Linked DNA regions of Cricetulus griseus. The protein of the gene in region 1 interacts with the protein of each later gene in a pairwise test. Links are inferred from orthologs where the notes say so. Each region holds a gene or a part of one and is shown on either strand. Other genes may lie near its edges.

Evidence for each region.
Region 2: the proteins of Pnkp (region 1) and Znf639 interact in binary tests that used the Homo sapiens proteins (3 or more experiments, as listed by UniProt). The two-hybrid records come from large-scale screens. The link is inferred for Cricetulus griseus from reciprocal best matches to the Homo sapiens genes PNKP and ZNF639.

What each region holds. Positions count from the first base shown.
Region 1 is NC_048599.1:153,693,902-153,698,507, reverse strand, and holds the start of Pnkp (bifunctional polynucleotide phosphatase/kinase), read right to left. Parts: upstream 3,050-4,606; 5' UTR 2,834-3,049; coding exon 2,683-2,833; intron 2,193-2,682; coding exon 2,146-2,192; intron 1,885-2,145; coding exon 1,585-1,884; intron 899-1,584; coding exon 819-898; intron 741-818; coding exon 683-740; intron 535-682; coding exon 427-534; intron 275-426; coding exon 203-274; intron 1-202. UniProt on the Homo sapiens protein: Plays a key role in the repair of DNA damage, functioning as part of both the non-homologous end-joining (NHEJ) and base excision repair (BER) pathways.
Region 2 is NW_023276806.1:116,835,978-116,839,786, forward strand, and holds part of Znf639 (zinc finger protein 639), read right to left. Parts: intron 1,313-3,809; coding exon 1,202-1,312; intron 1-1,201. UniProt on the Homo sapiens protein: Binds DNA and may function as a transcriptional repressor.

The DNA.
Region 1 (4,606 bases):
ACTAGGCCTCTATTGTGTAGTTTTTCCCAATGTGTGCTGTGCAAGACCCCTGACATGCGACTTCTCAGCTACTCTGCTCTTCAGAGATTGGGAGTGCCGGTCTCGACAGCTGGCAAGGACCAGGAAGGGCAAAGGAACGAGGGCAGCAGGTCACCAGGAGCCAGGCTGGGAATGACCACATAGAAGGGAGGAGGATGCTCACCTGCTCCTGCAGATGGTCCCACATGCCACTCACTGGCTTTCGGTTTAGACCTGCATGAGTTGCCACCAGCACCTATTGAGGTGGCCAAGTTACACTGTCCTTGTGCTTAGGACTTCCAAGGTCATTTCTGTCAGCACAACCCCAGCCAAGGCCTCCATTCCACACCTTGGCATGTTCTCTTTGGGTCCCTGTCCCACACAGCCCCTCAGTGTCCCTGGCTGTACCTGAAATGGGACCCCCAGCTTCTCCAACACAGCCTCCACCTTGGCCTTGAACACCTCTGCCGGCAGCTTCCCTCGCCCAATGCCCATTTGGTTGGTGAAGATTACCAGCTGGGGATAGACAAGGACACACTGGCGCTCACCACACCACAGCTCAGCCTGAACTCTACACAAACATGCATGTGTTCATGCACACACATGCACATAGGCCCCGCACCTTGTAGTTCTTGGAGTCTAGAGAATACACACACACACATACCTTGTACCCCTCAGCATCCAGCTCTTGGAGCTTCTTTGGAATCCCTGGGTACAGAATCCTAAGGTCGGTGGGAAGCAGCAATGACTTATAACCTAGAGGACCTGAGCTCCCACCCTCTTGCCAGGCACCACCTCACCTCCAGTCACTAGGGCTAGTGGGGAAGACCTTTCCAGAACGAGTGGTGATGAGAGTCCCATCTAGGTCAAAGGCAGCCACCTGGTATCACCAAACACAGGGACAGCAGTACTGTGTTTGGTACTCCCCTGTGTCAACAGGGACTCTCCCCACAGTTGACACCGGCCCTTTGACACTCCTATTGCAGGGTGTGCATGAGTGAGGCAGGAGAGCAGTACCTCACTGCTCCTGTGTCCTCTGCTCCCCACTTTCCAGTCTTTAATGGAGACCTGTGTCCCACCCTCCCCTTTTCCCTGAGCATCTCTTGGAAGATTATCAGCTCAGAAAGAGCAACCGTCTTTGTTGGAAGAGCTGAAAAGAAGACTCAGTGGCTCAGAGCACACACATCAGGTGGCTCACAACTGCCTGTAACTTCAGCTCTAGGGAACCCAATGCTCTCTGGCCTCTGCAGGCATCTGTATACATGTGGTACACATAAAATCAAGCAGGCTCACATAAATAAATGAATAAAAATTTAAATTCAAAACTCTCTGTTGACTGAGTGCCCAACCAGGGACTAGACCCCAAACTTTCTGTGGCCTAATCATTTCAGAGTAACCCATAAACACATCCAAGAAAGGTCTGATCATCACTGATTACAGGGCCTGATCTGTATCCTGCACCTCAGTCTCTGTTCACAACAAACAGCTGAGACTCAGAGACTTTGATAAGACTAGCCCAGGGCTGCACAGCAAACTCTGTATTAAGCGGCAGGACTGTGGCCTCACCTTGCCCCGGGACTCTACCCCAGATGCTGTGAACACCAGTAACTTCTTTAAGCTCTCCCAGCCAGGGGATGATTTCCGTCTCCGCTTTTTCTGAGGCTCAGCATCCTCCCTGTCCACTGGATCCGAAGGAGGAGTGCCTGGTGGAGTATCTGGCTGGGATCCCGTTGTGCTAATCTCTTCCCAACGCAGGGTCAGGGGGTATAGGCCATTGACCAGATACAGGCTATCCCCCAAGCTTAGAGAGCCTGACAACCCTGGCTTCAATTCCTGGACCCCAACAGTTGATGGGTTAACACCCAGCTGCGAAGAAAGGAGGAACCAAGGTCGGCTCCAACTCCTCAGGGAACACTTGCTTCCCCACCAATTCCAATACCCCATCTCCCAGTCAGACCTTAATCTCCCACCTATTCATTGCATGCTACCAATCAGAACTTTGAAAGGTCACAAGGAGTCCAGTTTGGCACGGTGGAAAAGGGAATACCTACTAACCTTCTGAAGGGTTGCGGCCCACCCCGACCCCTTACCCCAAGTCCTTGCTACTCGTTGCTGAGACACTGGTACCTGTTTCACTGCCACTGTCCGGGTCTCAGGGTCTGCAATCAGCTCCACTGAGGGTAAGGGGATGGAGTCAGGGTTTACATCACATATGGGGCGTGGCCAGCTATAGACTTCGTCTTGCACTTCCGAAGGAAAAGGCACTTTCCTCCCTTCCCCAACACAGGGCCTCAAGTAGCCCAGGGTAGCCTAGAAGTCGCCACACACTGGTGGCTGACCTTAAACTTCTACCAGCCAAGTGCCTGGATGACAGGTGTGTGTCACCCCCGGCCCGAAACAGTTTATCTCTCGATAGGACCGGGACCTACGATTTTTTAAATCTGTAGGGTCGGCTTGCTCCATAAGACACACTGAGTAGACCTAGGTCTTGGGCATGGCCTGATAGATCCTGCCCAGAGGCGTCTCTTTGCTGCGAGCATCCTCCTCCACCCGGTGACAATCTCCCGGATCCGCTCTGTCCCTCCCCGAAAGCCCTGTCTAACTCCAGGTTAGGCACAGGTTTCCCTGCAGCTCTTGATGCCGTAGTTTCACTCCCGCGCCCACCTTGATTTCGGGAGCACTTCCGGTCCGTCACCTGGGTCAGGGGTCCCCGACCGAGAACCAGGGCTTGGCCGTCCGACGGCAGGAAGATAGGGGGCGGTCCCTCGGTGGGGCTCTGCAGCCACAGACGGCCCCGAGATCCCAGCTGTGACATCCCGGGATGTGGCGAAGGCGAACTCGCTGGGCAGCCAGCTACGGTCCGCTACCGGAAGTCCTGCCTTCCCACTAGAGCCGCTCCGGAAATCCGCCCCTTGCCCATGGGCGGGTTCAACGTTTCCCAGGCTACCACAGCAGTTCCATAAGTAGCTAGAGAGGATAGTTTAAGGTCGGGATTACTTCGGAATTCATTCCGAGACTCACCACTGTTGTGGGAAAGACTCGGAAGGTTTGGCTCCTCCCATAGCGCGCGCGCCGCTCCTGACCCGCTTGCGTGTTGCTAGGGGGCGTTTGGGTCCCTAGGCTGCAGTTACTTGGTTTTGTTCTGTTTTGGTGAGATAGGGTCTCAGGATGTAGCCGTGTTGTTAAAGTTACTTCCCGGGTGTAGTGGCGTACCTGTCTAATCCCCGCACTCAGGAGGCAGAGGAAGGCGGATCTCCGAGTTTGAGGCCAGCCTGGTCTCCATAACAAGCTCCAGGTCAGTCAGTACTACAATGGGATCCTGTCCCCACCTCCAAAAACAAAAGTGCTTTCCGGATGAAGACCTAAACAGTGTCACAATGTCTACCCTTCTACGTCTGAAGGGTAGACCGAAATATGATTCCATCAGAGATGATTCTGGGGAACCAGTGAATTTACTGGGCCTACAGGGTTTACTTACTTGTGTGTGGTGCTACCTGCAAAGGCCACACCTATCCCACGCTGCACAGATAGTCTTTTCCCCTACCTCTTCCTTGCCTATATTTTCTAGCCCCTGCCTAGGCCCCAGCTACATAGCTGCTTGTGAGGAACAGCAGGGAACGCGGGTGAAGTCCCATGACCTTCCTTGCCCCCTCCTTCTATGGGCGAAACCTGCTGTCAACAAGCCCAACTGGACTTATCTTCAGCACAGTCGAATTATTTGGCTTGGATGTTAGTCCACCACAACACCCTAGCTGGCCTCGAACTTGAGAGATCTGCCGGTCTCCTGAGTGCTGTTATTAAAGGCGTGGGACTCCACCGCCCAACAGTAACGCTTGCTTTTAATATCAGTATTTGGGAGGCAGAGGCAGGAGGATCTGAGTTCAGGGTCAGCTTGTTCTACAGTTGAGTTCCTGAACAGTCAGATACACAGAGAAACCATCTCTAGAAAAACAAAAAACAACCAAAATAAGCACGTGCCACCACAGCTGGCCATTGATTTTTTTTTTTTTTTTGGGGGGGATAAGGTGTTTCTCTGTGTAGCCCTGGTATCCTGGAACTTGCTTGGCAGACCAGGCTGACCTCAAAACACTTCCGCCTGCTTCTGCCTCCCAAGTGCTGGGATTAAAAGTGTGTGCTACTATGCCTGGCTTTGGTTTGTTCTTTGAGGCAGAATTGATGTTAACTCCTGTGACTACTAAACCCATCTCCCTGTTGCTTGAATGGCAGATGTGCGCCACGGGGCTGGCCTTCACTCCTCTGAGACAGCAAAGGAAACCAGCATTTGTCCCTAGCATTGGAAGCCTGTGGCCCCTTCACACTCTTCCTTTGTTCGATGATGCTGGGTTCTCTGCTGTAAAACGGAATGATCACTCCCACCTCGTGGGGCAAATACACTAAAGCTGAGCATGACGGGGTAGATGGGAAATACTGCCCAAAGATTAAGGATGCAGTACAGGCCACAAAGTGAAACTGTCTCAAAAGGAAAAATAAGAGGCTGGAGGGATAGCTCAGAGGTTAAGAGCACTGGCTGCTCTTCCAGAGGTCCTGAGTTCAATTCCCAGCAACCACATGGTGGCTCACAACCATC
Region 2 (3,809 bases), on another chromosome or scaffold:
TTTATATGCCCCACTAGAATACACTCTGAGCTTCCTAAGGAATGATACCGAATTATTCCTTTAGTCCAGCCTCGTTCCCTCCAAGTTGAAACTAATATAAGGGTCAAGAGAGAAAACTGGACTGAAACATGTGTATGTCGTCGTCGTCCCCCCCCCCCACACACACACAGACAGGGTTTTGGAGGCTGTCCTGGAACTAGCTCTTGTAGACCAGGCTGGTGTCGAACTCACAGAGATCCGCCTGCATCTGCCTCCCGAGGGCTGGGATTAAAGGCGTGCACCACCAACGCCCAGCTAACGTGTATGTTTTAATAGACTTTTAAAAGAACAGTTTTAGACTTGGGAAAATCATGAAAATAGTATAAAGTACTCCTAATATATCACAACATTTCCCACTATTAATTCTTAACACTAGTATGGGGGATTTGTTGCAATTAGTGATGACATATGACCACTGACACTGATACATTATTACTAACTAAAGCCCTTACTTTGTTTTACCCAATGTCCTTTTGGATCCCACAATACATTTATTGTCTTAAGGACTATTGGTCAGCCACTTTGTAGAATGCTCCACTAATACAATTTATCTATTTCTTTTTTTCATGATTGGATTGGAATTATGAGATCCTGAATGGTAGACCCTACTGCCATCACTTCCACAACACACACTAACTACTGAGCTAACTAACCCTCCTGACTTAGCTAATGTGGCATTTTGGTTTCTGTACTGTGAATCTGTTCTTGTCCCTTCCATACCCTACTCTCTGAAAGTCACTGTGAAGTCCAAACGAAGAATTAGAAAGTTGGGTTCCATCTCCTTAAGGAAGGAATATTGATAGGAATTCATGCCAGGTGGTGATGGCACACGCCTTTAATCCCAGCACTTGGGAGGTAGAGGCAGGAGGATATCTGTGAGTTTGAGGCCAACCTGGTTTACAAAAGCAAGTTCCAGGACAGCCAGGGCTACAGAGAAACCCTGTGTTTTTTTTTTTGTTTGTTTGTTTTGTTTTTTTTTGGGGGGGGGATATGCTGAGGGAGTTTGCTACCTTTTCAGATAATTCCTAAGGAAAACAATGTAAAGGCAGCTTTGTTTTTTTGTAGTACTACAGAGGAGTTAGTTCTTACACATAGTAGGCACACACTACCACAGAGGCATCTTTAGGTCCTGTAAAAGCATTCTGGAAAAAAGGGGCCTTACCTTTGTTGTCAAAATATTTTAAATCTGGCTGTCTCATAGAGCAGACACTGTAACAATGGTCAGAAAAGATCCCACTGATCCCATCTGTGATTCTGCTTATTCCAGAAGAATCTGAATATGAAACAAAATGAAGACAATTCCCAGCATAATACAGATGCACAAGCTTGTTGTCATTTTTTATCTATCCCCCCACCAAGTTAACGATTGAACCCAGTGCCTTGCACATACCAGGCAAACCCTCTACACTGACATTTATTTTAATGAATTTCAGTAGGAAAAAATGTAGCATGTCTTCAGTTTCACACTTTAGATCAGACACTGGCATTGGCTTTAAAAGAGCCACAGATTAAACTGTAATAACTCTTAAGGAGCCAGTGGCTGCTGCACACCTATGGTGTCAGCACTGCAGAGGCTAAGGTGGATCAGCAAGACTTTAATTCTAAAATTAATTTAAATAAGATTAAAACCTTAGAAACAGGGGCTGGAGAGATGGCCCAGACACTCTGTTGCAGAGGAGCTAGTTTCAGTTTACACATGTTGGCTCACAACTGTAACTCAATTCCAGGGATCTGATATCTTCTGGCCTCCACGGGCACTAGGCTTGTGGTTCACATACATGTAGGCAAAACACTCATACACATAAAAATAAATATACCTTTAAAAACATACAAGGAAACATTTGCCTTATAGTGCAACTCTCACAAAATATACATATGTAATAAATGCTCTATTAATGATTAAAACAGTGAAGTAACTACCATTAACTTCTAAGAAGGCAAGCCACATAGTGCCAAGAAAGCATAATACATAAGAAAAATAGTCTCAGGAGCAGAGAGGGCTTCTGAATACCAGCCATTCCAAACACTGCCTGGGAAGCACCAATATACAATAGACCAAGCTGACTTTCCTCAGAGGGCACATGTGCTGGGAGCAAGTCAATGGGTATGCCTGAAACAGTCTCAACTATATATGACAGAGATGCACACAAAGATCTTTTTCTTTCTTTTCTTTTTCGTTTTTCGAGACAGGGTTTCTCTGTATTTCTTTGGAGGTTGTCCGGGAACTTGCTCTGTAACCAGGCTGGCCTCAAACTCACAGAGATCCGCCTGCCTCTGCTTTCCTTTTTCTTTTTAAAGACAGGATTTCTCTGTATAACCTTGGCTGTTCTGGAACTCTGCTCTGTAGAACATGCTGGCCTTGAACTCAGAGATCTGCCTGGAAGTGCTAAGATTAAAGGTGTGTACTACTGAAAGGTTCAGGCATTATGCTGGCCTGCCCTGATTACCTGGCAGAATTCACTCAGTCAGTACTCTGGTCAGCCTAGGGTTCCATGGGCACTAAGTCGGCACGCAGGTGTAAAGGACTCCTTTAAACTCCTCCCTCCCCCCCCCAGCCCATTTATGTGCTCTTACTCTTACGCTCTCTTACCTTCCTTTTCCTCTTACTCTCATGCTCTTTTTTCCTCTTACCTTCTCTCTGTCCCTCTCTCTATGCTCTCCCTCTCCCGCCCTGTAATAAACTGGTTAATGTATTCTCTATGGTTCATGTTCCATCGTGCCGGTTCCATCTCTCCCCTTTCTAATTTTTAAACCTAAACAAAAGAGCAACATTGATGCCAAAAGACTTGGCAGGTTTTCCTGACATTTCCTCCTGCCTGTGGTAGTCTGAGATATGCTGGGACCCTGTAAACTTCAACTCAACCACTTCTCCAACTAAGGATCTCTGGATTCTATCATCCACCACTGCCATGTCTGGTAAGCCCGCTCCTTACTCCCTAGAGTTAGGACTCTACTCGAATCAAGACTGTGGTCTCTTGAGTTTTCTGGACTGGTCGAAAATCCCAATATTGGGTGACCACGTAATGTGGCTCCGGGAGCCCTGGCCCCCGGTTTGTGCTTGATGAACTACAAAATCAGTGGGTGCCCTTTGCATCTGATCCTCCCTTAGTCTCTGGGATGCTGGAGATTATAGGCTTTGGATATTCTCTGCCTCTCTCATGGAAGCTGGGCCCCCATATCAAACCATGTGCCCGCTTATCAGCACCCTACATTCTGCTAGTGATCTATGGTTGGCAATGCGGCCTCGGGCGGATGCCTGCCACTGTGGGGGTCCCACTGCTTCCCATCATGGCTAAACCTGCCTCAGGGCAGAAACTTCCTTCCACCTGGGAATGTCCTGTTTCTTTGTGAGGATGCCAACTGCTCCCAGTGAGCTGGCCTGGGTCAGTGTCTGCTCGTGATGCTCTGAGAGTTGTTTTTTTTTTTTTTTAAATTTATTTATTTAGTGTGTATACAGTATTCTGTCTGCATGTGTCTCATCATGCCAGAAGAGGGCGCCAGATCCCATAATAGATGGTTGTGAGCCACCATGTGGTTGCTTGGAATTGAACTCAGGACCTTTGAAAGAACAGCCAGTGAGTACTCTTAACCTCTGAGCCATCTCTACAGCCCGCTCTGAGAGTTTTTTAGTTTTCATATTTTGCCCCCCACAAATGAGGTTTTCGGGTTTTGGGCGTTCGTTTCTCAGACCTATGAGGAATCTCTCGGGTTTTGTACCCTAGCAATGCTCATAGACTGGTGCATCTGTTCCTCAGAACTATGGTGGTCAC